Linked DNA regions of Arabidopsis thaliana. The protein of the gene in region 1 interacts with the protein of each later gene in a pairwise test. Each region holds a gene or a part of one and is shown in the gene's direction. Other genes may lie near its edges.

The links.
Region 2: the proteins of AT4G26550 (region 1) and ATFP8 interact in a two-hybrid assay, tested with the Arabidopsis thaliana proteins (one large-scale study listed by BioGRID).
Region 3: the proteins of AT4G26550 (region 1) and AT5G58750 interact in a two-hybrid assay, tested with the Arabidopsis thaliana proteins (one large-scale study listed by BioGRID).
Region 4: the proteins of AT4G26550 (region 1) and AT1G67860 interact in a two-hybrid assay, tested with the Arabidopsis thaliana proteins (one large-scale study listed by BioGRID).

The regions. Positions count from the first base shown.
Region 1 is NC_003075.7:13,401,392-13,406,975, reverse strand, and holds AT4G26550 (Got1/Sft2-like vescicle transport protein family), read left to right. Parts: upstream 1-2,590; 5' UTR 2,591-2,767; coding exon 2,768-2,961; exon of another isoform or gene 2,962-3,137; coding exon of another isoform or gene 3,138-3,148; intron 3,149-3,273; coding exon 3,274-3,541; intron 3,542-3,633; coding exon 3,634-3,738; intron 3,739-4,110; coding exon 4,111-4,221; 3' UTR 4,222-4,597; downstream 4,598-5,584. Other genes in the region: CBL7 (calcineurin B-like protein 7), read left to right, coding at 1-82, 186-243; AT4G26555 (FKBP-like peptidyl-prolyl cis-trans isomerase family protein), read left to right, coding at 798-853, 950-1,132, 1,511-1,545, 1,653-1,746, 1,837-1,897, 1,979-2,024, 2,117-2,187, 2,277-2,354.
Region 2 is NC_003074.8:3,708,202-3,714,308, reverse strand, and holds ATFP8 (Ras-related small GTP-binding family protein), read left to right. Parts: upstream 1-2,691; 5' UTR 2,692-2,911; coding exon 2,912-2,925; intron 2,926-3,006; coding exon 3,007-3,079; intron 3,080-3,191; coding exon 3,192-3,239; intron 3,240-3,323; coding exon 3,324-3,371; intron 3,372-3,444; coding exon 3,445-3,516; intron 3,517-3,708; coding exon 3,709-3,864; intron 3,865-4,197; coding exon 4,198-4,301; intron 4,302-4,716; coding exon 4,717-4,819; 3' UTR 4,820-5,178; downstream 5,179-6,107. Other genes in the region: AT3G11745 (uncharacterized protein), read left to right, coding at 1-55, 137-180, 292-333; AT3G11740 (LURP-one-like protein (DUF567)), read right to left, coding at 920-1,063, 1,167-1,397, 1,673-1,882; AT3G11720 (Polyketide cyclase/dehydrase and lipid transport superfamily protein), read left to right, coding at 5,588-5,628, 5,709-5,807, 5,977-6,107. UniProt on the Arabidopsis thaliana protein: Protein transport. Regulator of membrane traffic from the Golgi apparatus towards the endoplasmic reticulum (ER).
Region 3 is NC_003076.8:23,726,195-23,731,252, forward strand, and holds AT5G58750 (NAD(P)-binding Rossmann-fold superfamily protein), read left to right. Parts: upstream 1-2,393; 5' UTR 2,394-2,691; coding exon 2,692-3,852; 3' UTR 3,853-3,948; downstream 3,949-5,058. Other genes in the region: AT5G58740 (HSP20-like chaperones superfamily protein), read right to left, coding at 426-568, 873-921, 1,036-1,184, 1,286-1,334; DDB2 (damaged DNA binding 2), read right to left, coding at 4,547-4,766, 4,876-5,058.
Region 4 is NC_003070.9:25,443,890-25,448,212, reverse strand, and holds AT1G67860 (uncharacterized protein), read left to right. Parts: upstream 1-2,855; 5' UTR 2,856-3,036; coding exon 3,037-3,273; 3' UTR 3,274-3,461; downstream 3,462-4,323. Other genes in the region: AT1G67865 (uncharacterized protein), read left to right, coding at 1,526-1,753.

The DNA.
Region 1 (5,584 bases):
GGATGATCGATGAGGAAGAGTGGATGGACCTAGTTTTTAGACATCCTCTTCTTCTGAAGAACATGACTCTCCAGTATCTCAAGTGAGCTCCTAAACCAAAGACTAACCCGAGGTTTAGCCAATGCAACTTCAAATTTTTCTGCATCACGTATTATTAACACCATGATATCTGATATTGTGTGCAGGGATATCACAACTACATTTCCGAGCTTTGTGTTACACTCGCAAGTGGAAGATACCTGAGAAAAACAATAGCATATTAGCAGAGGAGACTGTTTGGGAATTGTGTTTGTTTTCTGATTATGTATCATGTTTATTTGTTTTCAATCTCTCTCAACATTTTCAAGATTTTGTTGTTCCTTTGTGTGGAAAAAAAACAAATCCGTTGATGATTTTCTCCTCGCATCTGTAGATCTACTACTAATCTTGAGACATGTAAAAGCAAACTGCTAGAGCATTGAAAGGGCAAACTGCTAGAAAAAAAAGAGAGAAGAACTCAACACCAATGATCGGCTATGCTCTAATCTGAATTCTCAAGTCAAAATTGAAATCGCCGGTTTGATCGAACCGGATGTATTTAACAAAATAAACAAAATAAACAAAAAAAGAAGGAAAAATAGATCCTCACGCGTTACCGTAGCGCGTATTTTTTTCACAACAAAATTCATAAGCAGTGTGGGTCCCACAGGTCCACTAAGTTTAGTGGTGGGTTGCTCCGTAGCTAATCTCATCTCTCACTCTTTTTCTTATCCACTATCCATAGAAGAAGAAGAAGAAGACTGTTGACGACGACGGCGATGGCGATGGCTATGGAGATTTCTCTTCCTTTCGTTGGATCATCCATGGCCTTAAGGTAGATTCGTATGTTTTGGAATCTCATAATTTTCTATCTCCGTCGATTTGAGAGTATGGTCGCTGGAGATTGAACCTTTTTTATTTTATTTATCAGCGCGGGAAAATCAAGGAACAGCGTTTCTAGGATTAGTCGTGTTGGATTCTCTTCGGTCTCGGCTGTACATGTACCCAGAAGGATGTTTATGCAGCTGTCTGGATTTGGTTCGGTCTTGACGCTTCTGGATTTTCCTAGTTTAGCGGCGCCGGTTCCTCAGATGAAGGAACCTGAAGTGATCAGGTAAAATTGGTACTTCTCTGAGCTATCTAAACTCCTTTTTCATTTTGATTTTGATTCAGGAAATTGCGTTAGAACGTCGATGATAATTGTAGATGCTAGCATTGAGGAAAATTTGTAGTTGTGTCCATGTTTGAAATGATTTTGTGATTATATTTCTGGTCTGCTTTTCAAATAATCTTTTACTAGTTTATGAATTGCAATATTTTATGGCTTCCTGTTTAATGTGCTTGTTTATTGCATTGATAAGCCATGTACACAAAGAAGTGAGGAATATGTGAAAGCTTCTTTGAGCTTATTGGATTGTTCTACTTGTTGCATGGACTTAGTTCCTCATCCTAGTTTTTAATTGTTTTTTTGGTTGGCGATCGAAGAATGCAGGACATTGAAACTCCCGAGTGGCGTGAGGTATCAAGGTACTAATCTTTCGCTAGAATTCTGTCTGTTGTTCCTTCTGATGATAACATTCAAAAACTTGTAATATTGTTCGTTTTATTTGCTAATCATGGAAGTCTTGTTTTAGAGATAATTGAAGGTGAAGGACGAGAAGCTCATGAAGGGGACCTGGTCGAACTAAACTATGTGTGTCGGCGTGCAAATGGATATTTCGTTCATAGGTTAGATTTCATGCAAAACTTTAGATGCCTTGATAGTTTCTTTCATCCAAATCTGATCCTCTTTTTAACTCTCATAGTTTCTTGATTCAGCACGGTGGATCAATTCAGTGGTGAAAGCTCTCCTGTCAAACTTATTCTCGATGAAAACGACGTACTTTGATTTGCACTCAACCTTGCATATAACATAGCGTTCCAATCATGGCCTGTACTAACAAACTGCTTCGCATGACAGGTAATTGAGGGCTTGAAAGAAGTCTTGGTGGGCATGAAAGCTGGAGGTAAAAACTTGAAACAACAAATAAGATTTTGGTCTTTTGATGTAATCTCATATTTCTAATGACTCGCACATAATGGTCTTTTGCGGATGAAGGGAAGCGTAGGGCACTGATACCTCCATCAGTAGGGTACATAAACGAGACATTGAAGCCAATCCCCGAGGAGGTAGTCAGATCTTTACTCTTCATCTTCCACAATGAACTTGCTACATACGTATGTCTCAAATGATCTCTCATATGTGTTTGTGGATGCAGTTTGGACCACGACGCAGCCTTCTATCGCATGCGAACGAGCCTCTGGTCTTTGAAATCCAGCTCTTGAAAGTATTATGATATTTGTCCTGTCACTGACTGTTAATGAAGTATTTTGGCTGTGAGATTATTTATTTTCTATTGTAAATCTGTAACAACAACTGCTTGGAACTACATATCTTGATGAGTTCTGCTTTAAGGCTTGGATTAATAAGGGAATTACCATACCAGTATTTTTAAATTCACTCAAGAAGTTTCCAAATTACTCGTTTTACTCGGGGAAAAAAATGGTAAAGCTAAGTTACTTAAGAAACGACGCCGTTGACTTCTATCGACGTTACAGCATCGGTTCTCCCGTCTTCTTCTTCCCGAGTAAGTAATTCTTTAGCTGCGGCGTTTACCAAAAAACCTTAAAACGTCAACGAAAAATATCCGATCGCCGGCGTTCTGGTCTATCATTGTTTGCTTTCCTTGAAGATCCCGAAACCCAAAAAATGTCACAAGGATGGTTTTCGATGGGCGGGAGTAGCACCGTAGATCAGCAGCAGCAATCGGGTTCGTCTCTGCTTGCGGATTGGAATTCTTACGCAGCCTCTAGAGATTTCGAGGAAAGCGGCGGAAGCTTCGGCTTTGATATCGAATCCGCCGTTAGATCTGCCAATGACACTGTTTCGGGCACCTTCAGTGTGTAAGTAGATTGCAATTAGTCATCTCATAATGTTTATTCCGTGACTGAATCTAAGAAGATGAGGTTTATTAGTGGTAGTGAGAAGTGGGTGTTAGTGAATCTGAGCTATTGAGATTTACTTTGTTGATTGTGAGATTTGATAGTTTGGGAAATGCATTTATGAGTTTTGCATACCAATGGATTTAGAGTTAGTGAATAAGTCTATTGAGTTATTTATATTTGTAGTTGTTTTCAGGAATCTTCTTTTGTTTCTCTGATAAAATTCTTGTTCTTCTGTTGTTTTTGCAATGTACCTGAATTTGATGACTACAGGGTTTCAAAAGGAGTTAGAGATATTCCAGGGAGCTTGCAGTCAGCAACAAGTAGTATGCCTTCAGGAAAAGCGCTCATGTATTTCGGTTTACTTCTCGCAAGTGGTGTTTTCTTCATCTTCATTGCCTTCACAATGTTTCTTCCAGTCATGGTGCTTATGCCACAGAAATTTGCCATTTGTTTCACCCTTGGATGTGGATTCATCATTGGATCCTTCTTCGCACTTCGTGGCCCTAAAAATCAGCTCGCACACATGTCTTCGATGGAGGTATGTTACACTGTTCTATTGTGTGTCTGTCATGCCTTAAATCCAAGAGTGATTTCCTTCCTCTCTTTTGAATATCTTGTGTACTTCTCCAGAGGCTTCCTTCAACCCTAGGTTTCATTGCTACCATGGTTGGTACCATATACGTATCAATGGTTCTCCACAGCTACATTCTCTCGGTGCTCTTCTCAGTGTTACAGGTACTAAACATTTCATCTTCCAATTCTTAGGATATTCCCTTTAATTATGAGTTTAAGTTTTTCAAAATGAGATATTGCTATGAGCAAGTGGAAAACAATATTGGACCTCACCAAAGTATTTAAGATCATATAGTAACTCACCTCATTGTTGAATCGGTCTTGAGATGGAACCTTTCGAATCTCCAGAGTTTAGCAACAAACATTAGACTCTCGAACAAGTGGTGATACTTATCTGGGTCTTCACCCGTTATCTATTTGGACTGTATGAAAGATATACTTGTAGAGGTTTTGAGAACTTCTGCTCGCAAAATCCGCGCATTCTGCTGAATCTCATAATCTCCAGTATCTGTTTCTTTTTGTGCTAATGGACAGGTTCTTGCGCTGGTTTACTACTGTATATCCTACTTCCCTGGTGGATCATCAGGCATGAGGTTCCTCAGTTCTGCTCTCACCTCATCTGCGCTAAGAGTTTTCGGGAGATAAGCTTTCGTAGCCAATCTGGGAGAGAGAACAATACTTGTCGGTGTACAAAGAAAGATGTCGAAGCGTTTTTTGGTATACTCTTTAACATAGATTTGATGAAATCCCTCGAAAAGATAAATGATCGTGAAGGAAATGTTTAGTGAAGAACCCAATTGATGTTCTTTTTTTTTTAGTTGCTGGTGATTCCCGAACCAAAACGAAAAAATCCATTGTACCAAGAAAATGTCAAAATGAGTTTCCTAATTCCCACGCAGGATGGTGTCGACTGATTCGTTTCCCAAAATGTGTTAGCGAAGTTCTGATAGGTGACAATGTGAAACTCTTTAGGGTATAGACATTGTAACAAATACTTAAGCTGATTAGGTCTTGTTTTTGCAAAAAAAAAAAAACGTTTAGATCATGTCCCGATTAAGATCATCAAGTGATCACAATATCAATAAGACGTGTGTATTTTGCTGTCCTGTATTACTGCTGAGAAAAGTATATGCAACATAGGTTTTGGTTGGCCAAGTAAAGCCCGATAAAAGATTGTTCGGCTCTTTAAACTGGGACCATCAGTCAAAAGCAGTGTGTTTAGGACCATCTTTAGTTAAAGATTATCAATGATGAATAATTATGTCTTGATCATTATTTTTATCAATAACATATAATATTTAGATCTGAATTTGAGTGGTTACACATCGACGATAATCAAATCAATGGAAAAATTATAATTCTTTTTGTCATATGACAAGATAAACAATGAATTTTATCATTCAAGATGCGAAAATCTAACACCATGCCGCACATAAACGGTTCATGGTTGTTTCACGACGGGTCGTCTTACATGTACAAAGATTCATGATAGACGTTTCTACGTACTCACGCTATATATACCATAGAAATGTTGTACACTTGTAGTCTTATCATAATTGAAATACAACGAAAGGCTCTACATGTATATCACGCTGAAGATCTTTGACAAGCATTCTAAATAAACTTCCACTTGAAAATGGAAACTCCAAGTGTTTGTTTGTTTATTTTGTGTACGATAGTGGTAAGAAAATATTATAATTGTTGATCTATTTGTTTATCTTGATGTTGGGGTATAATGCTTAGTGAGCGGGAAACCCAAATCCTGAAAATACGGAAACAATGGAGCAGGAACATTTGACCTTACATTACACGTATTGTTTCTGATATTTATTTGAAAACAAAAGCTTTTGAGCGAGAGATAATATTAGTTGAAAGCAAAAGCTCATCTTCTCCACTAAGCAATGTTAGTTAAAAAGACATAAACATTATTGTTTTAATCAGTTCAAAATTTAGTACTATGCTTTCTCTTTCTCTAATCTATAAATCTGTGGTCGTGCAACGTTTAAAT
Region 2 (6,107 bases), on another chromosome or scaffold:
AGACGTCGTTTATTGGCTTTTTTAGTGGCTACCTCTCTCAGCTTCCATCTCTGGGGTAATGTTGAGTTTTTTTGCTGTTTTGTGGTAAAGAGCAAAAAAAAAACAAATTCGTTGTAATTTTTTTTTCAAACATCAGAATTTACCAAGAAGAAAAATGCTCGGCGTGAAGAAAAGAATGAGGTAATCAATTGTTTATTATTGGTTTTCAACATTTGGAAGATTTAATGGAGTTGAAATACCAAAAAACTTAAATAGAGAAACTTATACATTTGTGCTTTCTCTGATTTGCAGGCGAAGAAGGTGCAGCAGGTGGATCTGGAAGAATTAAAATAAGAAAAGATTATGTTTGATGCAGTGAACAAAACGAATGTTAATGTGTTTAGTTACTTTATGTTGGATTCCCTTTGTGTTTAAATCCAACATAACTAAATGATATATTCATAGCAGAGGAACTATCTTGCTCCAGATATATAGAATTAGTTTACTAATTGTAAGGAGACACATTTCATTGGAAAGAAATGGGGACAAGTAATGTTCCAATTCCTCATCATCACCCAACATGTTGCCATATTTAGATCCGAGTATGTTTTTTGACGCATCACTTTGGCATATCATTTCTTTATCCACCCCCATTTAGATTCTATTAAAGGAATCTCCAATGGCTGAAACTTCAGAGATGGTAAAACTAAGTTTTGAGACTTTTGATACCTGAAGATGTTTGTCTACCTCCACAAAAAAGTTTGGATTTGTCTTTCGCACATTTTCTTAAATACGGTTTCACTATTATAATGATATAAATTGATAGGCCTTGGTGAAATAAATCACTAAAAATATTGTAATAATTAACATATACTGTACTATGTTTTCGAGTATTATTTAGATTTGCAACGCACAAAAAGAAATTAGTTGATAACTTAATCTAGTCTTCTGAATCTTCTCGGTTAATGTCATCGAGGATTACAATGAGAGAAACTATAAAAGCAAAGTCAACATTCGGATAGACAGTAACCGAAAAATTACTCTTCCCAATTAATATGCTTTGTGCCGTATGTTTCTTGTGCATCTGAAAAAAACAACAAAACAACAACAATGACTCAATTAACACGATCATATAACTAGCTAGTCCGGTTTATACAATTTACAGACAATTTGATCAGTGTAATTACCTGAGCAACAATGGCATCAGATTTGCCGGCGTAGACGACACAAGACCGGTCGATCCAACTTCCTTTAACATGGAAGTCGCAAATCTTCATTTCTTTATTATGAGCCAAAAAGATGTCTAGTTTTGGCTTCATTATTTGAATCATTGAAGATCGTTTCAATGTGTATAATAGATCACTTTGGTCTGTACTCTTCCCTCTATATACTAGCCACCTATCATGCAAGCTCACCTTCTACAATTTTTATGTTATAAGAAAAAAAAGTTGTGGATCAGATTTTATTGGATGATCTATGACGATTTAACATACTCGAATGAGTGATGATGATTTTGATATTATTTACAATTAGTTGATAGACGTATTGAAAAAGTGTACCTCCATGCAAGTTATAAGAGCATGTTTGTGTATATATGATTTGCATAATGAAATTTTTTTTTTGTATCACCATGAAAAAATTGTGCCTCTCCATGCAAGTTATAAAGAATTGTAGTTGATAGACGTATACTTACATTTTCTCTCAAAGTCAAGATTGGAGTATCGTATGCGTCCAATAAAATCCTTTTGTCGCTGATGCTAAACAAAGGTTCCTTGACTTTGAAAAGGAGATTGCCGTTAACGTCCGTGACGGCGAAGTTACCATCGGTTAAAGTCATCACCTTCCGTACGATTCCCAACTCGATAGGGTACGGTGCACAGAAATTAGGGCTAACGATCGCCATCTTTTTGAAGATCTCTCTCTGTTTTTTTTTTCTCTTTTACGATTCTTGTATAAGGTGGAGATTTGTGTTCGTTTCTCAATCTTTTTAGTTATTTATAATTAGGATATTCCAAGTATTGTGTGAAACAAATCTTCGTGTTTTTAATTTTGTGTTTTTGGCTATATATGTTTTGTTTATTTTTAGAACTTATCTTATTTTAAATCTGCTAGCCAAGTTGCAAGCTGCAAACACGTTAGCGTTACTACACTTTTTTTTTTTGGTTATATAAAAAAAAATAGTTTGATGGAAAAAAAATATTATAAATTGAGGAAATATCTTCTTTTTTGCCAGAAAAGGAAATTAGAAGAAACGTAAAATTAGAAGGTAACTTTTGGTAGGATTAATATGACTTAATTAAAAATGATATGAATGGAGTATGAAAAAGAGAATGATTTTGTTGATAAAATATACTGTCATATAAAATTGGAAAATCCATGCATATTCAATCAAAGTTTTTCTTTTCTTTTTCAATATACCTTTTTAATCCGCTTTAAATACTTCATTATATTTAATTCCTCACATCTTGATCACGGATTATAAATCAAATTTATGTAAAATTATCTTCTCTAAAAAAATAAAAATAAAAATTGAGACATATACATGAGTAATAAAATCCAAACCTTTAATAACAGGGCCAGGACGTTAACGACGGTTAAGTTAGATAGACAAGATTTTGAGCTCGGCCCATTTATCAAAAAGCCCAAATAAGAAGACACACACACGTAAAGAAATCAGTGAGACAAGGTCAAAGCTTCTTTATTGTCTCGGGAAAAACAACAAGGAATTAAACAAATATTAAAAAAACTGGGAACAAAAAAATCCAGTAGAAGTCGTGGGGTTCAATGTTCATGTAAATTGATTGACACGCCCCCTAAACCCAAACCTCTCTTTTTTTTTGTTTCTTATATTATAGAGAAAAAGAGCTTTTTCCCGGAAAGTTGTTCTCATCTTGGAAAATCAAATCTCGGAAACGCAGTCTTCAGCTAAATCATGAGCAACGAGTAGTAAGTGTTTCTCTCCTCCTTGAGAGCCATTCTTTCGTTTTCGATTTTACTCACACCGATTTCGATTTTTTGTTGTTGTAGCGATTATCTGTTCAAGCTTTTGTTGATCGGTGACTCCTCTGTTGGAAAATCGTGTCTTCTTCTCCGATTCGCTGTGAGTTTGACTTGATTTTGATTCTTAATTGATTCCGTCGTCGAGAATTAGCTCGTGTTAGGTTTCTTCTTTTGTACTGTTTCGTGATTTTGGGATTTGTTGCTATTTCTAGGATGATGCTTACATTGACAGCTACATAAGCACCATTGGTGTTGACTTCGTAAGTTCATTCTTTGACCTTGTTTACATACATGATCGAGATTGTTTTATCCCAAACTTACTTATAATGTGGTTGGTTTTGCAGAAAATTAGGACGATTGAGCAGGATGGGAAGACGATTAAGCTGCAAATTGTGAGTTTTCAATTATATAATATGTTTTGGATGATTGTGTTTACTCAATTTTACTGTTGCTGCTCTCTTTTAGTGGGATACTGCTGGACAGGAGCGTTTCAGGACCATCACTAGCAGCTATTACAGAGGAGCTCATGGAATCATTGTGAGCAATCTTTATATTCGCTTTCTTACTTGCTTTTTTTTGGCTTACCTAGACTAGTGTTATGTCCCTATTTCCATTTCTCATTTTAAGTGGTTTAGTCTGAGATTGGTATTGTAATGTTGGAATATGAATCATTTTAATGTTGTAATCCACCCTTTAAGTGATGAACCTTAATGATGATAATTGCAACAGATTGTTTATGACTGTACTGAGATGGAAAGCTTCAACAATGTGAAGCAGTGGTTGAGTGAGATCGATAGATATGCCAATGAGAGTGTTTGCAAGCTTTTAATCGGTAACAAGAATGATATGGTTGAAAGCAAAGTTGTTTCCACCGAAACTGGAAGGGTAAGCTCACATCCCTAGTTAAGTTCCCAGCAATTTTTCCATTTATGATTTTGCTTCTATCTTATGCATAACATCCTTTGCATGGTACTTTCCCCTTTCCTCATTTGATCATTTCATGGTTTCGCATATCTTTAACCATGTGATGATATTACAACCATTGAGATTGTTATACCAGAATTTACGGCTATGAATGTAGATGATCTCTGACCAAATTCCCAAAGCTAGATGATCTGAATCCACCGAGTAGAAATTGCTTATTTTTGCAGCAGCTGTTACTCCTGATACAACTGTGAATTGGTTTTCTTACATTTCATCTACTCAAAATCACTGCAGGCCTTAGCAGATGAGCTTGGAATTCCCTTTCTTGAGACCAGTGCCAAGGATTCTATTAACGTTGAACAGGCATTCTTAACTATTGCTGGCGAGATAAAAAAGAAGTATGTTCACTATCTTTAATCTTTCGCCATAATTTTTTCTGCGAAGATTTAACATAGATTAGGTTTAGTAAACTTGTTCTATTACTATATTCCTTGATCACCATTATATACATCAAATCATTCTCTGTGTTTTTTTCTGCTGCAAAGCATCTTGATTCTCCACTGTTTTCATGAAATAAACTATTCATGTAAAGTTTCAAATCCGAAGTGTGCTATTCTAGACTTGATGACTAATGGAAAGCAAATCAACAAACTAACTGCTGTATCCTTGTAGCTTCCTCAAGCTTGTGTACTTAACTTCTGTTGATAGATTTTCCATATGGTTGATATCTTGTATCGACATTTGCTGATTCAGTCTAGTTTATGTAACATGGAGAATTGAGTCTAATCATATCGTAACTCATTTTCTTTGCAGAATGGGAAGCCAAACGAATGCAAACAAGACATCTGGTCCTGGAACTGTCCAAATGAAAGGTCAGCCAATCCAACAGAACAATGGCGGTTGCTGCGGTCAGTAGTTTAAAAAATGTTTTAATCAAAACTATCTGAGACTCTTTTTTTACTTCCTTTTTAACTAAGTGTTGTGAAAACCAATGGCTGTTTAAAACAACTAAGAAATGTAATATTCCATGTCGCTGTGTCTTGAATAAGCTATGGTGTTAGTTGCAAGATACTTCTCTTTAATATAGTTCAGTCTTGACTTTGACCACACAGGGATATGCAAGCAACTCATGGTTTTGAATTTTGATTGTGTATATATATTAAAAATAGTGATAGATATTCGTTGCTGTATAGGCTGGACCATGTTCATTACCATAGATATTTAAAACTTGCAGCTAAGTCCATAGAATGAGGAAAAGCAAAAACAACATATGAGAGATAAATCTCAATAATGTAAATGCTGAATTATATATACTTCAAAGATACGAGTCCAAATCAAATTCTTCCATTTTCTTACGCTAAAGTATACGGATTTCCAAAAGAAGATTTGTTCTATTTCGTTTACAACGCAATTCTAGTTTATAATAACTCATCATATACTCATGTGGTTTCAAAATACCCCAAATGCATGTTTTTCTAGAAACAATCAGTTTTCTGATTTTGATGAAATCAATCATACCTAGATTCATTCATTTACTCCCACAATTTTAGAAGAAAATCTCATTCCTGCACATCCTTATTTAAAAAATAAAATAAATCAAAAGTGATCTTATTTGTTTGTGTTTAAGTTTTATAAATTCATTTTTTTTTGTTTGAATGATAAAAAGACAGACAGGAAAGATCTCATGACAACGACAGTTAACCGACCTGGTCCCTCTAAAATAAAGTCTGACACAGACTCTCAAACTTTGTCAAATCCAATTCTTATTATTATTGGTAATGAGACTTTTTCTTCACATTCTCCAGATATGTATATTCCCGAGAAAATGAGGGAAAGTATCTTCTAATCGGGAAAAACATCTCCACGTTCCTTGCCCGTCTCGTAGGTTACGCATCAGCAGCTGGGTTTTGTCTGGCAAAACTATAACCAAAAGCTTCCTTTCTTATAAATTGCCTTACGTTTTAAGGTGTTCTCTTCTCACTTCTTCCCCATGATTCATCTTGACTCCACAAATTCAGGGCAATCTTTGATTCTCTTTGGTCTTTGATTTGAGGATTAATTTGTTTTCTAAAGGTGTCTGCTGATTCAATTGAGTATGGAGAAGAAACGAGATGTTTCTGAGTACAGAGAGAGACTTAATGAGACCTTGTCGTCTCCTGAGCTCATTAATGAGCAAACTCTTAAAACCCTAGTCAGAAAACAAC
Region 3 (5,058 bases), on another chromosome or scaffold:
TTGCCATGTTAATTTGCTCAATCCGGTTAGACTAAGGCTGAGCAATTTCATCCACCATAGCTTTACTATCACCAGCTCTATGCAGACTGTTTATTCATGAAACTGATAAAAATCCGGCTACACTATAGGTTTACTATCACCAGCTCTATGCAGACTGTTTATCCATGAACACAAAAGATTCACTACTTGAGAGAGACATAAGAAACAAAATAAGAGAGCTTGAACAAAGAAAACAATCATGGGACATGACTCATCCAAAACGATCATTTATGGCAAAGTAATCATACTTTGACATAGATTCATTCTACTCAGTAGTGGTGCCTAAGATTTGCTTTGGAGATCAATTAGAAGACCTAGAAAACAACATTTATTTTTTCAAAAGCAGAAACCATATGAAACCAAGAGGACTTTTACAGGTAGCTAACCTCTTCTTGAAACCTCTGGAGCATGAGCCGCTTCTGCTCAAGATCAGTGGCGTAAGGATCTAACTGACCCTGTCCCAGAATCGGTGATGCCCATGTTTGCCCTTTCTCCCTCTTCTGCAGGGTAATGTGCATTATATCATCCTCTGCCAAATCAAACATAACAATCCAGATTAGCAATCAGTGCCAGACTATGAACCTAAAAAAACTATGCCAGTAACTTACATACGCTGATAATATAACCCAAAATATACTGTACATTCCATCATCCCTCCATTAGTCTCAAATTTTCCACATTCCAAACTATATGTCCCACTATTTATACCAAACTCAGATCACATTTCCAGGTTCAGTTTATCCTCTCTAGCAATAGTGAACGGGTCTAAAAACAGAAACCTAACCATCAAAAACAAGCACCCAATACAGACACAAAAACAAAAAATGGAGTACCTAGAGTCCAGAACGAGCAATCAGTCTTCACAGGAGCACTAAGATCGTGCTGAAAATTGACAAAATTTAGACAATTGAATCGAGTTATATATACCACATCGAATAACTCAGATTTATGAGACAAACGGATCAAAAACATTGAAAGATAGCGAAAGAAACTGACATTGAGATAGGGAGGGTTGCCTTTGATGCCAACTTCGATATGTTTCGACTGGATTTTGCAGTGGAATGACTTTGGATGAACATTTGGCGGCAAAGTTATGTACATGTTCACTTCTTCCAGGGTTTGATCCCACTCAAATACCTTTTGACCTATAACCATCGGAAATCGAAGAACATTCAAACCAAATCTCGTGAAATGGAATCAGCTGAAATTAGAGAAATAGAGCGAGGGGATAGAGAAAGCGAGAAACCATTGTGAATGAAATCGTGTCTCTTCTCTGGCGCAAGCTTCTCCGCCATATCTAGGGTTTTCTTCTCCGTTCCCGGCGAAATCGATCACCGTTGATAGTAGTTGTTCTGGTTCCTTTTCAATTCGTCTCAACATTGGAGGACAGGCATTTATGATTCAGTCCTTTCATAATCATGTATTTTCTTTTAGGGTTCTTAGTTTTAGTTATTTACGCTTAGATCCCTTTTCTTGAGGTACACTCCGTTTCTAACTTGGAAGTCAAAACTCCATGCCGTTTTATTGAAGTTCTTCCAAGTTCCAAGAAACATTTTTTTGTTGTCGCCAAAGTAGAACACTCTTTCACAATTCCACAGAAAATTTAAAGATGAGAAGTGGGTCTATTCAATGCATAGAATACGGAGGAAAACAAAATTGAAAGAAGAGTAATGTGTAGGTCTACCACAAAACATGGTCCATTTTAAAGCCTTAAACGTAGCCAAGTGTGTTAGTTTTTTAGCTTTTCAATGTCCTTTGGGACAAGAGATACACTGTACCCATTTCCCCCTTTCAGTTTCTTCAACGTAGACAGGGTAGTTATTCAATTTTCTCATATTAAAACGTTATACGTGATCAAAGACTTTGACTTATAACAGAAGAATAATTTTGATCAATCAAAAAGTTGTTTGATAATGTAAATTATGGTCTTCCATTTCGCTAATCCAAAAACTTACTTTCTCAATTCCATTGGTCAACTTGTTTCATTTGATGAAATTCGATATGATACATGTTTGGCCACTGCATGAATCGAACGACAGTTAGATCTCAAATCGGTTTGGTTTCGGGTACATGAGTTCTAGTTATGAAAAAACAATCATCACGACTCACGAGTGTATATATAACTAGTTCATTGAATAAGTTGTCGGCTAATATTCGGTTTTGACCGGTGAGACTGTTAACTAAAATGAATACTATTAGAGTAGAGACCCACTTGAAGTGTACTATAATTTTAAAAGCCGGCCAGCAACCACGGGCCAGACTCTGCCTCTCGCAAAATCTTGACCGTCCGATTGAGAACCGGACAAAATGCTGTACACGACGGTTCCTTAAAAAACTATTGTAACAACTGTTGCTTTCGTAACACATTCCAGAACCACAAATTAAATTGATAAACACGTTAACATGAAACCCAAAACACTGTTTGACTTTAGTCTATTTTATCTTAAACAAATGTTGCTTCGTTATGCTACATCGTAGCTGTGTTCAAAGCAACTTGCTTTGGATAATTTATCATAGCCTTTAAAACAGGTAAGCATCGAGTCTTGAAACTATCCTAAAACACGTTGAATCAGTCCCACAAACTTTTTTTGTCTTTACTCTAAGCGTTTATATGAAGCTTTGATCAAAGTCCATAACTCACTAATAATCACAATGGGGTCTGAAAATGGCAGCTTGATGAGAAGAAACGAAGTAGACGAGAATGTAGCGTTAATCTTTGGCGTCACCGGGCTTGTGGGTCGAGAGATTGTTAAGACGCTATTAATGTCTAAACCAGGATGGAGAATCTACGGCGTAGCGCGTAACCCGGAGATCAATTCCATGACGAAGATGTACAACTTCATCTCCTGCGATCTGCTTAACGCATCTGAGACTAAACAGAGGTTGTCTCCATTACAAGACATCGTGAGTCACGTGTTTTGGGTCACGTGGTCTGGTGAGTTTCCATTGGATACCGACGAATGTTGCGTACAGAACAAGACGATGCTGATGAACGCTTTGGACGCGATTCTCCCAAACGCTAAGAGGTTAAAGCATTTCTCGCTTCAAACGGGGATGAAGCATTATGTGTCTTTGGTGGAAGAGACAATGGCTCGTGGAGAAGGTTCGAGTTTGTATTATTACAGCGAGGAGTGTCCAAGAAAGAGCTCTGGGAAGAATTTCTACTATGTTTTGGAGGACTTGCTGAAGGAGAAGATCACTCGTAGTTCCGTTGTTTGGTCGGTTCAAAGACCTGGTTTGCTAATGGGAAGCTCTTCAAGAACTCTGTACAACTTCATGGGAAGTCTTTGTGTTTATGGAGCGATGTGTAAGTATTTGAATCTTCCTTTTGTGTTTGGAGGAACAAGAGAATGTTGGGAAGAGAGTTACATAGATGGCTCTGATTCGAATTTAGTCGCGGAGCAGCATATATTCGCTGCAACAAGTGGGAAAGTACGCGAGAAAGGGGAAGCTTTTAACGCCATTAATGGAGTAGGGTTTACTTGGAAGGAGATTTGGCCGGAAATAGGGAAGAAACTTGGTGTACAAGTTAACGAAACAACCATGTTTGATGAAGGTTTCTGGTTTGGGAGAGAGATGGTTGAGAGAAAACATGTGTGGGATGAGATTGTTGTGAAGGAGAAGCTTGTTAGGACAGAGATTGAGGATTTGGCGAATTGGTATTTCTTGGATGCTCTGTTTAGATGTCCGTTTAAGCTTCTTGGGAAAAGAGAAAAAGTAGATAGGTTTGGGTTTAAGAGGAAATATAGAACCCTAGATTCGGTTTTGTATTGGATTGATGTGATGAGAGATGAAAAACTCATTCCTTTGTAACACATGTTGTACATTAGCAATGTAGATCACGGTATATATGTACTTGATCAATAATCCTCATGTAAGTTTTGTTTGTTTGAATAATGAGCTTTCCACAAATCCTTTTAAGCTAAATCATTAAACATAAATCCTTTGCAGTGAAATGCAATAGCTAAGTTAGATTCCAAGCAGTGGATAACCAAAATTCCAGTCAGGTTTCGTAAACGCGTCCGAACAAATGTGAATGTATTGTGACATATAATAAGATGAAGTAGTGGCAGACCATACTTGAGACAACAACAAGATGATTAGCTGGACTCAGTTTGTTTATCGATGTTATTGCATACGTAGTACAGATGAGTTTTGGCTGTCAAGATGACGTAAGAGTAAAGACATTTCATCCCATGTCTCCACTCTTCACTCAGCGAGATCAAGAATCATTCCAACAAGTAAGAGAAAACAGGGGAGAGTAAAAACTGAAGAGAAGATTCAAGATTGATCCATTCCACATACTTACTACAATTCATACTTAAGAATCACCAAAAAGGATTTCAAGAAAATGCCATACAAAAGCCGATCATGCGCCCCCAAAAGAAAAAAGAAGCAAAATTGCCGCCAAAGGCAAAACAGGGGATGCTACTAAAACAGACTCTGTACAAGAAAACCTACAAAAACAGAGTAAGTTAGTTATACATAACGACCTTCTTCACTCATATTAAGTTTTTGTCTTCTTGGTTGTTTTTGCTTGATACTTATTGACTTTTATGTTTTTGCCTTTAGAGCTAAATATGTCATCTTCATCGTCTTCATCATCGCTGCCACGCTTTTGCTTCTTTCCTTTCTTCTTGCTGTCACCATAACATATGATAATCTTCTTATCCTTCTTCTCCTCAACCATCTCTGTATTATCCTGTGGCCTCCAAATGAACAGCGACCTGCAAAACCGGATTTCGAAACCAAATCCACACCAATGAGAGATCAGTCAATAAGAAAAAGTGTCCACCAACGGTTACTATTGTAGCTGTTGGGTAATGAATCCCGAACCTTGAACTTCCTGAAGCTAAAACATCATCGCGAGGATGCAACTTGTTGACTGGAGTAATAGTTGTGATGTTTGGATCCATAACCTCTGCAACCAATTGTCCATTGCTTGCATCAATGAAATCTATTGGGTGAAGAGCAGTTCCGTTGTAGTTTTCACTGATGTAACGACCAATCACGATGAGT
Region 4 (4,323 bases), on another chromosome or scaffold:
TTCCTCCGATTTTCAAAGTACATATCGGATTATCGGTTGTATATGTGTTATGTTAGGCACGTTTCACTAAATTTTTGGAATAGTTCCTTTAATAGCAAATGTTTTGATCTTTTCAGTTTCGTGGATTGATGTGGGATGCTACTTAAGTGGTGTATTTTTCTATCCAAATTGAATTTATCATCATTTTACTTATGGTTACCAAAGCTGAAAGTAATCCCTACGGTCACCACAATCACCGTTACTTCTCTTGGAGGTTCTCTTCTTTGCTTCGTCTAAGGATCATTGGTTTGTCTCCAATATTCTAACACAAGTCTTCTTTCCTCATCTTCTTCCTACTTAATCTCGGTATTTTTTAACCCTCACCATTGAATATCCCATGGTCTTTAGACTTCTTGTGTTACTTCCCACTTTTCGCTAACGTGGCCGGCTTACTCATGTCATGCACGTTACGTGGCTATTAGCAAAGAACAAAAAAAAAAAAAAAAAAGTTACACAACGCTTCGTCGAAATCCAAAAATGAATGAAAATTTTAACTCAAACAAATTTAATATAAAATCAAATAAAATCCGTAATAAATAGAACTAGACTAGGTTTAATTTCCAGTTTCATTATTATGCTTCCATTAATACTCAGCCAATTCCGAAATGTTCCCATATGAATAGGACTGATCTTTAATTTAAAAGACGAACGGAATTAGAACAAACATGACTATTCAACTTTCGTGGTAGAAAAGAGAATAAGATTCATATGATCGTACGATGATATTTCGAATAATCTCCAAAGGGAATAACATTTTCTTCTTTTACCTCATAGAAATCTGTTTTTTAAAATAAACTTTACACTGTCATTAACGTTTTTTTTTTAATAATCGGGACTAGGTCTTTGTCGACCGAAGTCCAAACTAATTCCTGAGCCAAGTATTAATATGAGTTTTATTGCCACTGAAAGCGTCGACGAGTGGCTAAGCGGGATAGTTAGATAATTCCACGTTTAAGGAAATTCTTTTCATGGACTAGACCAACAATGAGAATCCGCTATCACTTGGTTAAGAGAGACTCTTCAAACTTTGCAAGCATTAGATGCAATTTCCATCATAACGATTGAAGAGACCATTCCACGAAGGAGATGGGCCTTACACTAAACTTATCCACACATCTTTTCTAATGTTCGTTACTAGTATTGCTGTCAAAACATGCCTTTTTGGACTAAACATTAGTTGATACACATACAACATCTATTTTTGAGGGTCTATAGGGTCTGATTTTTTAAAGAAAACGTGTCCGTAGACAGAAACCTCCTTAGTTTGGATCTTTCCCATGTGATCATTATTAAAAACGACGAACGGAATTAGAACAAACATATCTATTCAACTTTCGGTAGTGATGGTACTAAGAGAATAAGATTCAGATCATAAAAAAGGGAACTATATACAAGAAATTTTTTCTATATATAGAAAACATCTGAAAGATTAAAACACTTATCCATATCAAAGAAAACTAACACAAGTAGATAAATATAAAGAAAAATGCTTGATAAGCTTATTATTGGGGTTGCCGGAGGGATTACCGGAGGGATTCTTGGAACGGTCGATGGGTTTGCCAAAGGGGTCGGGATATGGCCCAATAATTATCAGAGCACCGGTCGCTTCGAGAACAACAATATGACGAGTCCGGGAAACTACGGCAATGGTAATGGCGGTGCAGTGAAGGCATCCGAGAACTCCGGCGGCCGCCGCCAGAAAGACAGGGAGTAAAGGACTCCTGACCACACCCAGTAATGATTATGTATCCAAAATAATAAATGTATACGATGTATGTATAAGATGGACATGTTTCAGTATCTTACCAAAAATATAGGAGACTTTTAATGAAAAGTCTTCTTGTTTAATTTTATGAACTTTATGATTAATAAAAGGAGTGTGTTTAATAAAAGTGATGTATATTAACAGTTATTTCCACACGTGAAAAGATTGAATTTATTTGCACACAATTAAGTTTGAAAAGTAACGTTATGGTGTAACGAAAACCCTAATGAATTTATAAGTTACGTAGTGCAGTAGGATATGTCGTTTTAATGTTTCTGGTTCATCTAAATAATTAGATAATTTATTTTGCATTTATCGACCAAAACTTTAAGCTCATAGATTTGATTCAAACAAGTAATTCATTTACTAAATTAGACGGATCATAGGATTTTTTGTTGATTCGATTAGCCTTTTCAGTTATGCAATGTTCTTGAGGGAAACACAAACACAGATAGCATATTTGGCGACAGCGTCTGCCTTTTGAATTGGAAAGACGAGAAATATAACTAAAGGAGATAGAACGGAAACAACCTTGAAGCTGTCGAATTTCTTGAAGAATTCCATGAATGTCATTGATAGAGTTGTCTACACTTTTATCTCAAAAATCAAACGAACCTTACACAAGCAATGTTTTTTTTTTTTCCAATAATCAGAGTCTTCCTAAATCCAAAGTCTAGACTAATTCTTGAACTTAATACTAATAGAAATGTTTTCTTGCAATTTACAGCGTTATGGAGTCTAAGTTGAATAGTTAGATTATTACACTTTTATAAGGCTTTATTTTCTGGCCTAGAACAACGACCTGAATCTTCAACAAGGGGAAACTTTAAGTCCACTTCCACTTGGAGAGTCTTCAAACTTTGCAAGCATTAGATGCAATTTCCATCATAGCGATTGAAGGACCATTTGAGTGACAAGTAAGACGGGTCGTGTATGTCCATAGTTATCTTGTTTTCCACTTTCTTTCCATCTACTTCACGAATTTTTGTGATCGTTGAATTTTTTAAGACGAACGGAATAAGAACAAACATGTCTATTCAATTTTACGTATGGTGGTGGTAAAAAAAAAAGAATAAGATTCTTATCATATCATGGATATCATATGACGAATAATTGCCATAACAAACAAACTTAAGTGAACACTACGAGAATTGTATAAATATATACAAACATCTGAAAGATTGTAAGCTCTTATTCATATCAAAGAAAAACAACAGAATTAATATATAAAAATGCTTGATACGCTTATTGGAGGGATTGTCGGAGGGATTGCCGGAGCGATTATTGGAACGGTGGATGGGTTCGCCAGAGGGATCGGAATATGCCCCGATAGTTACCAGAGCTGCACTCGTACCGACTGCGAGGAGCACAAAAAGAAGCTCCCGACCAACCTTAGCCGTAACGGCGGTGCAGCAGCAGTGAAGGCTAAGGAGAACGGCCGCCGTCGCCGCCAGAAAGACAGGGAGTAGAGGACTCTAGACTACCCAAATATTCTGACGGTTCAAATAAGAAAGTAACGATTATGTACTCCCCATATAATAAATGTGTAAGATGTATCATGTATTTGTGTGACGGACTTTTAATGAAAATAAATGTTCTTGTTTAAGTTTTTTTTTTTTTTTGTCAGCGTTCTTGTTTAAGTTAATAAATCATTTATCATATTACATAAGAAATATATATTAGATCGGTATATAAATTGACTTTAATATATATTTATCGACAAAATTTGAAATGAATATTTAGGAAGTATATTATATCTCATTGAACTATATATATAGAAAGAGAAAACGAAAAGACTATTTACGAAAATGATTGGATTAAGATATGTTGTTTCACGATGAAGACAAGGGAAAAAAACCCTCAAGTTACATGCTTTAATGTTCATTACATGAATCTACTTGTTAAAATAACATAAGTACAAGTGAGTTAAGGAACAAAGAAAACTAATTACGTTAACTAGAAAAGATGGGTTTGTGCGTAGACTTGTATTGGAATTTTCATGTGGATCACAACTATATAGGTTTTCACAACAACTGGTTATTTAGTTGTCTTCCTCTTATATACACTAAATATATTATCTCTCACATTGCTCAATAAAATTAATATATGTTAAAATTCGAAAACATAACACCAAAAAGTATGTAATATCAGTAATTTTTTTAAAAAAATACAAATAACACTAAAATCATGTATTTATTTTTGTTATATATGTGCAGTTTATAAAATTATTATTATATTATTAGAAACTTAGATTTACATTAAAATTTTCAAAAAATAATTATTTTTCTATCTTATCGAATTGTATTAGTTTTTATATTACTCCTACTCGAAACTAGAAAATATAAATAATTTATAACATTTTTTTTTTATTTGTCCAGTATTAGTTTATAAAAGTTTTACTATATATCATAATCTCTTGAATCCTTCTTATCATATGAAGGAGAATATCTTCGATATTTTTTAGTGGTCCTAGGTCAACATGACGAATCCTCATCAAGGCAAAACCACAAGTTATCTCT